2 linked regions of the Callithrix jacchus genome follow. The protein of the gene in region 1 interacts with the protein of each later gene in a biochemical or structural test. Links are inferred from orthologs where the notes say so. Each region holds a gene or a part of one and is shown on either strand. Other genes may lie near its edges.

Region 1 (4,206 bases):
AAAGTGAAAGAGAAAGAGGCAGAGAGGGAGACCGAAGGAGAGAGCGCAGAGAGGGAGAATGTGTCTGCGTGCATGTGTGAGAAAGAAAGTGTGGGCGAGGGAGAGGAGCCCGGAGTGGGGAGAGGGGAGGGAGGGAAGGAGGGAGAGCCCGAGAGGAGGAAGGGAGGGAAAGAGGGAGGGAGGAAGGGAGGGAGGGAGGGAGGAAGGGAGGGAGGGAGGGAGGGGGCCCAGCCCGTGCGCAAGGAGGGGGAGGCCGCGGGGGAGGGGGAAGGGGAGAGGAAGCGAGCGAGGACAATCAGACCTAAAAGGCTGGGGCAGACCTCGGGATGTAGCGGGGGTCGTGCAGAGCGGGCAGGAGCTGCTGGGGACCGCGTCCGGGCGCTCGTGGGGCTCTCGGCGCGGCAGGCGTTTCCCGGCCCTCCCTGGCCGCGGGCTCCTCCGCTCCGCAGCCGAGCGTGAGACTCAGGACTCGGCTGCCGGCTGCCGCGCGGCTCCTCCATGACCCGGCGCCCCTCCCGGGACCGGCCCGCTCGCGGCGCTGGCCCTCTCCTCCTGAGCTTCCCTCGGACAGGGGCGCCGCGCGCTCCCTGGCCACCGTCGCTCTGCCCTCGGCTCTCAGGGGCCGGGGATTCTGGACCGGGAGCCGGGATGCGGGCCCGGGCGCACACAGACGCGAGGCGGCCCAGCCCGGGCGCCGCTGGCACGGGCTCGCAGCTCCCGGCAAAAACCCGTCTGACTGGCTGGGCCACTCCCGCCCGACGCCCCCCCAGATGACAAGGCTAGCTCTCCCGGCGTGCTGCCTCTGCCAGTCTACCCGCCAGGTTGTCAGAACAAGCGGCACCTCGCCTTCTGCGTGTCCCTACAGCGCCCCGGCACAATCAGACTGCCCCAAGCCAACTCCGAAACCCGAAATCCCCGCTCCGGCGCTTGCCCGCCGCCACCAAAGTTGTGGAAACAGCTTTGACTTTATCCTTCTCTCCTTTCTCTCTCTCTTTTTTTTTTTTTTTTGCCTCACACACGCATTCACACTTGCCCCCACAGGATCCCTCTAGGGGTGCAAGTTCATCCCCCACCTAGCCACCCACCCCATCCAGTTGGCACCTAGAGCTGCGCGGAGGTTCGGACCCTGCCCGCCGAGGGCGCCCACACCTGGAGCTGGGTTTCGGCCTCTGCGAAAGTGAAATGCCCCAGCCTCGGGCCAAAGACCAGACCAGGACTGTATGACTTGTCCTGTGAGACTGAGGGACTCAGTTTCATTCCGACCGGCCTACAAAGCTCGCTCCCAGCCTCGAAAACAAAGCCACTGGTCTGACATGGGATCCCTGCACCCCTCCCCAGCGCGACAGGACCCCCCCAGAGAAGGGCCAGTACCCATGGGATGTCACCCCGTGCCCCATCTACTGGGGTAGGGGGCCTGAAAGGAGAAAGATTTTAAATAGTCTTCAGAAAGAAAAGGGAGGAGGGAGCGGGTGACACATCGTTCACATAAACCCAATTTCTGGTTTCGAGCGAAGTCAAGACCTCCGCCTTTGCGCCTGCACACAGACCTCCTGCTTAACATTCTCAGCCTCGAATGCCAAAAAAGAAAAAAAAAAAAAAAAGTAAAACCAGCAAAAGTTGGGACTGCCACCTATTTTTTAAAGTAATCTTCAGCCCTGCACTCTCTAACCCCTCTCTCGGACTCCTTGCTCATTTCACTGAAGGTTGTAACCGTTCCCAGCGCCTCCTGCGGGTGGACCGGTCGCGCTAGAGCCTCCTTGCTCACTCAAGAAGGCGAGCTCGGGGGACTCTGGGTTTTAAAATGGGTTCCAAATCGGCGCGCTCTGTCGGCCCAGCGGGCTCGCGGCACCAGAGGTGTCCACAGCCGCTCAAGGATTCCCACGGTCGTTCTCGGCTGCTGCTGAAGCTGGCGCTCCGGCACCCAGCGCCAGCAGATTCCGGGTAGCACCTTTCCCACCACACGCCCCCCGTGGGGTGCGTCGATGATGTAGCTCAGAAGGAGAAGTTACTTAGAACTTCTTGAAGCACCGAGGCTCTGCAGCGAGCCTCGCAGCTGGGATGAGTGTTCTCAAGTTGAACCCACTTATAGGAAGATGCAGCCCTTCTTACAGCGAAGTGTGGGGGCCCTTCTCCAAAGCCCAGACCAGGGTACTCTAAAGAGTACCGCTTTAGAACAGGGGGTGGGGGGTGAGGGAAAGAGAGGAAGAAAGGAAAGAATGAATGAATGAATGGAAGGAATATTAAACATCGGATGGGAAGTTGAAGAGAGAAAAGAGTTTTCTCTTTCTGTTCCTCGTGACTTGGGCCCTCAGAATCTCGATGAAGAAACACGAGGAGTGCACTGGCGCGTGCCCATTTGCCAGCAACCGCTTCAAAAGCCCATGTTCTTCTCTTCACCCCACTCTTACGCACAGCCAAAATCGGTCAGAAAGGGAAGGAAAGTGGGACACGGGCTCCAAAGTAGGGAAACCAAAGAAGGGAGCATCAACGACCTCCCTCTCCAGCTTCTCCCCCGCGTTCTTCGGACGAATCTGAGGGGCGGTCGCTGCTCTGGGGAAAGTTTGTCCCACCCGCGTTTCGCAGCTGGTTGCAAAGAGGAGGAGGAGGAGAGGGAGGGTCGAGCTCTGAGCCTGGGGCCGCATGGATGATCAAGCCGGCCTCGCGCTTACCTCGCAGTCCTCGTACTTGATATTATCCGTCAATTTCCAAAGCATTTTCATGGATCGGCTTGAATGGATTTGCTCCTCTCCGTCTCGCACCCAAGTGGAGCTACTCTCTGGGTAAGCGCAAAGTGCTGGCTGCCGGCGGTGAGCACAGGAGGAGGAGGAGGAGGGCGAGGAGGAGGGAGAAGAGGTGGTGGAGGAGGAGGAGGGCGAGGAGGAAGAGGAGGAGGAGGAGGAGGGCGAGGAGAAGGGCGAGGAGGAGGAGAGAAGGGAAAGAGCTCCCGTGTGCGCTCGGAGATCTCCCTCTAATGGTAGAAACTTTTCCCTTTTCCAGCTCTATACCAACAGCCTAATCGCCTCATTAGCATATCAACAATAGTCCAATTGCTCGCCAGTACCACAGTCTGCCGCCGGCCGCTCCGACCCAGGTATAAAGGCCTCTCTACACCGCAAACTTGCTTCAAGAGCTCACTCCTGCCTGCGAACTGATGAAACCATCTTGAGCTCCGCCGCGCGCCCCTGCCACAACACCCCCTCTCTTACCCCAGTTCCGCCCCATTCCCTTTCCTTTCTTTCTCCGCTTCCTTTTCTCTAGAGATGCCCTGTGCAAAGCCCGGCACAGCTCCAGGTCCGAGCCGCCACGCCTGGGGCCCGGCTTTTTGCACTTCTCCTTTAACCCTGCTACCACGATCCGAGCTGCCCTTTTGGCCCCGTGCAATTTTATTAGAAATCATTATCCCTTTCGCAATTAAACGTAACCACCAAACCAAGACCGGCGAAGTCACTCCAGGATTTTTGCCCAACTAGGGATCGCCTCCGCTCGCAGCAGCCATCCCCTCGGGCCGCAGCGCCCTGGGAGTTTTATTGGCTTTGAGCTTTCCCCCAGGTTGGAGATTCTGCCAAGCGGCCCCGGTGGCTCTGCTGGGGTTTTCGATCCCTTAATTGCGGCATGTAAAATAAAAGTTGTACCCTGAAGAGGTAGCTTGACAGCTCCAGGGGTTAAATAATTTTCTTCCCGTTTGTGTGAAGCTAGGGTCAACTGACAGTCCAACTTGGTGTTCAGGCTAATGTTTCTTAGGTGCGACTTGGACACGAATACAGAACTCCTATGGAGCTGCACACCCGCTTCTGAAGTTGAGCCGAAATAGACATGTGTGCGCCTGCAGGTCTAGATACCGTCTCATGCATGCATCAAAATAAATCACCAGGAACCGACTCTTCGCTGTGTTAATCTGCTCCAGTTTTCCCAAGATTCCCCTTTTTAATTAAAGCAAGGAGAGTTCCTTCATGATTTGGTGATGCTACTAACGCGAGCGTGCTCGCCAGGCAGAGCCCGGCTGACGCGGAACCTGGAGGCCTGGGAAGCCACCTCCTTGGCCAGATTGGTCAGTCCGGGCTTTTGGACTTTTCACTGGGGCCTACTGGCTTCGCTGGGGCTTTTATCAGTTTCTTTTTCGGGATTTTTTTTAAAAGTAAGAAAAAGAAATAATAAAGGACCTAATGCGACACTATGAAATACAGAGTAATTAATTTTCCTGGCTGA
Region 2 (3,944 bases), about 130 Mb from region 1:
CCCATCCATCAGTATATTATTCTAATCTACCTCCATTTAAGTAGTTCAATCAGGTATAAACAGAAACACTTCATTTTTCCCTCCTGCCCATTGAAAAAGATAATGTTGAGTATTGCAAACCTTTCTAACTCTGGAGTACACTTGAATATGATGGCAATTAAGAAAAAAAAAAGCACTATGACAACTTTGCAGCTTTTGATTAAAGCACACCAAGAGGCATGTTACAATGATAACAATGAAGCATTATGCCAATTATGTTAAATCCTGCTCTCCGCTTAAGCTCATCATGACCTGTTTTAGTGTCCTGTAATTTATCCTTTGGAATGCTTACTCTCATCAATAAAGTGTTCAACTTGGGGGGGGGGAAAAAGCCACCAAAGAGAACCACCACCCCCCAAATGACTTCTAGAAAACGAGTTATTTCTTAACTTTTTATTGACATTGGCAAATTAAAATAGAATAAATTAACAAGTATTTTTTCAAAAAAATGTTTTGTACAAAAATACTGTCAAAATTTCCTAAAAAGCTTTCAACACAGTAGTATCTTTTCATGTACTGAATATAACTATTAGCACAGTGTCAAAAATGTTGAAGACAGAAACAAAATAAAAATCTGTGAAATGTTTGCCACTGACGACATTCCACACCCTATTATCATCTGTACATATGGGGGGGGAGGGAGAGACAGCCAACTTGAAAGTGAACAGTATGACTTTTCCTGATCCAGAACAGTTTGGCCCACATCTGTTTAATCTTCCAGTTTAGCATATTTTAAAAATTAGTCTGTACTCAAATGCATAGTTAAAAAAATGAAGCGAGATGGCAGAGTTTGTGCAGTAATATCTGCCCTTCAAAGTTCATGCAACCAACTAATGCAATTTTTCCTTTCACTCGTAAATCTGAATGCAGTTCAGTCATTTGAAACCATCTACAAAATCCACAAGATTAAGAAGTTTGCCAAGATTAATATCTAACAGTTGAGCACTGAAGAAAGTGAGGGAAAGGAGTAAAAACAAACAACGAAAAAGACCAAGTTAGCTAGATATTTCAACTACATAAGGGAGGTGAATGTCAAGGCTGCAAAAACGAAACAAAAACAGGGAAAAAAAGTGGCAGCAATTTTTTTTTAAACCAATTTGTACAAGTTTATAGTTTACTTTGTTTCCAAGTTCTCAAACCTTTCAAGATCTGAAAAGTGAGATACTGTGTCTAAGGGAATGTTTCTTTTAATTCACACCGAAGAAGTTGGGGGTTTGATTTCTTTCGCCGGGGTTTCGATCGAGTCAACAGCTCACTCTGCTGGGCTGCTGTTTGCACACGAAGTCCGTCATAAAATCAAACTCGTTTTGCCCCAGCCAGAGTTCGGGCAGCTCCTTGATGCGGTCCAAACCCATTTCTATCACCAAGGACATAAGAACTTCCTCGTCGATGAAATCAGTGTCTATGACATTGGGCGGCAGCATTGCAGCAGGGACGTGGGCCACGGAGGCGGGCATGTTGCTGCTGCCGCTGCCGCCGCTGCCGCCGCCGCTGTTGCTGCTGCCCGCGCCGCCGCCCGCGCTGCCGCCCGAGCCGCCGGGGGTGCTGCTGCCGCCGGAGCCGCCGGGGGTGCTGCTGCCGCCGCTGTGCTTGGGGTTGCAATCTCGGAAGTGCTGGTTTGTCCCGTTCATCTGGTGGCCTGCAGCAGGGTGCAAATCCGGCATGTAGTGGTTGTGGGGGTAGGGGTGATGGTTGAAATACTGGTTGTTGAGCTTCTGCAGCTGCATGCTGGCCGGCAGGGAGCCTCCCTGGCTGGCCACCGGGGGGGCCATGAACTGGGAGTTGTTAAACCTGGCCGCGGGGGCCAGTGCGCTCGGGGGGTGCCCTCCGTTCACAGTCCCCGGTCCCATGGCGTGCCTGATGCCGCTCGTGGCATTCATGTTGCCCGCGCCGTAGTGTATGTGTTCGCCCATCAGGGCGTTGAAGGCGTGCTGGGGCTGCTGCTGCTGGTGGTGATGGGGGCTTGGGAACTGCCCCATGCCCATGCGGTGGGCAGGGTGGTGGTGCAGCCCATTGGTGCCGTCGGGGAAGCGCCCGTGGTTCATGGCCATCATATGGTCTGCCATTTCCAGTCCTGGAAGTGAAAAGGGCAGACGATGAGACCCGCGCCACACGTGTCGCCCACCACAGCGCACCCCACTGTTGCCCGCCTCTGATTCCCGGGCGCACGTCGGCTGCGAACCAACACCCCCAAATCCCACTAGCAGCCTGTGCACCCGGGCTCGCCACCAAGGAGGACCTGCCACTCGAAACACAGCCGGGCACTACACAAACAGCCCCTTCCCCTGAGATCGGGCGGGAGGACCCTAGCCCACACCCCCCTCTGCTCCCCGAAGTGGCCTAATAAAGGAAGTGCCCCGTAGCCCTGCCGCGAACTTCAGGCATTGAATCAGCCCTCCTCATCCTGTTGTTGCACATCCTGTTGTTATTCCCCAGCTTCGCCTCACGCTCTTCCTCCGGGCAAACCCTGCCCTCGGAGGACTGGGCTGGCAGGAGCCCCAGCCAGCTTCGCCCGTCGCGCTTACCTTCCGTTTTTGCGATTTCTGCTCCGAAGACAGAGGGCGGGATCGTCGGGTCCAGGACCGGCTCAGCAGCACATAGAGGGGGCCTTCCTGGCGTGCAGGGCGCTTCGCTGTCGCGATGTCGGCGCCGAGGTCTCGCAGCGGCTGCTGGGGCAGATTCGGAGCCGTTCCCTTTTATTTCCCCTCCGCTGCTCTCACAGCTCGGTAGGAGCGCCCGGCAGCTGCCAACAATGAGCTGTGTTTCTTAGGGCTTTGGCCACAGTTAATATAGCATTTCTTGAAGGGCGGAGCGAGAACCTCCAGGGCGGGCGGCGCGAAGACGCGGATTCCGGAACAACACGGACACCTGGACCGGGTCCGGTGGCCGCGGCCCCGCTGCCCGCGGCACGTGCGCAGAGCCTGCGGGCCCGTCGCCCCCTGGCTCTGGTTTCTTCCCGGCCCAGAAACGCGAGGTCGGCTCAGCCACCCCCGGGGCAGCGGGGAAATCCTCCCCGGCCGCCCCGCCCGAAGGTAGCGCCTGCCCGGAGTGGAACGAGGAGAGCTCACCGCCCGCCTCTGGCCGGATCTCCCCACCCCCAGCTCTCCCACTCCGCTCACCTAGCGATCTGTCTGGCCCTCTACGGGAAAAGGGGACTCGCCCAGCGCCCCCGCCCTCCGGAGTGCCCTTCTGCCTCGCCGGCTTTGCCAAAGCTTTCCCAGGCTGCGAAGAATGGCTGTGCGTCCTCGTAGTTGGGTTTTAAAGACCCGGACAAATAATGCGCCCTTTCTTGAGCGCGCTTTCCTGGACTGTGCCTTTGTGTTTTCATAAGGGCAGTGGGTAGACCTACTCTAGATCACTGCATGTAGATGCCTTTTTTTCCTCCACTCCTTTCAAGGACAGGAGCTGGGGGCGGGGAGCGGCAGCGGCTGCGGCTGCAGGTGGACCGAGCGCGCTCGCGGGCCCGGCCACCCCAGATCCCGCACCCTGGAACTCCAGCCCGCGCTTTTGGGCCCGCCCGCCGCTCCCGGGGTACGTGTGCTTCTGCTAAGTTTGCGTTTGCTGCTTTGGTAGCTTTGGCATCCGAGCTGAGGCGTCTCTGCTCTGTAAACAAACTCAGCGATCCTCGTCCCCAGATCCACCTTTTTGCACATACACAGTTACTTGCTTCTGCTGTTGCCCTGGATCCGGGAGGTGGGGGTGTGTGCAAACTTGCACAGCTTCCCTCTGGGCTCTGCTTGACGGTTTGGGGTTGATTTAGAAGCAAACGGGTTTGTAATTAAGAAATTCGAGGGCTGAGTAAGGCTGCTGTTGCTGGAAAAGGAAAACAAATAGATAACATGGTAATCACTTTGTAAATAAAGTCGTTCTGGAGGTGGGCACGTAGCTGCAAGTCCCGTATGGCA

The links. The genes of interacting proteins can lie anywhere in the genome.
Region 2: the proteins of TFAP2A (region 1) and CITED2 form a complex in vitro, tested with the Homo sapiens proteins (2 studies listed by BioGRID, with this or other methods). The link is inferred for Callithrix jacchus from reciprocal best matches to the Homo sapiens genes TFAP2A and CITED2.

What each region holds. Positions count from the first base shown.
Region 1 is NC_133505.1:20,025,743-20,029,948, reverse strand, and holds the start of TFAP2A (transcription factor AP-2-alpha), read right to left. Parts: upstream 2,801-4,206; 5' UTR 2,721-2,800; coding exon 2,670-2,720; intron 93-2,669; exon of another isoform or gene 1-92.
Region 2 is NC_133505.1:146,159,913-146,163,856, forward strand, and holds CITED2 (cbp/p300-interacting transactivator 2), read right to left. Parts: upstream 2,801-3,944; 5' UTR 2,565-2,800; intron 2,114-2,564; 5' UTR 2,106-2,113; coding exon 1,284-2,105; 3' UTR 421-1,283; downstream 1-420. UniProt on the Homo sapiens protein: Transcriptional coactivator of the p300/CBP-mediated transcription complex. Acts as a bridge, linking TFAP2 transcription factors and the p300/CBP transcriptional coactivator complex in order to stimulate TFAP2-mediated transcriptional activation.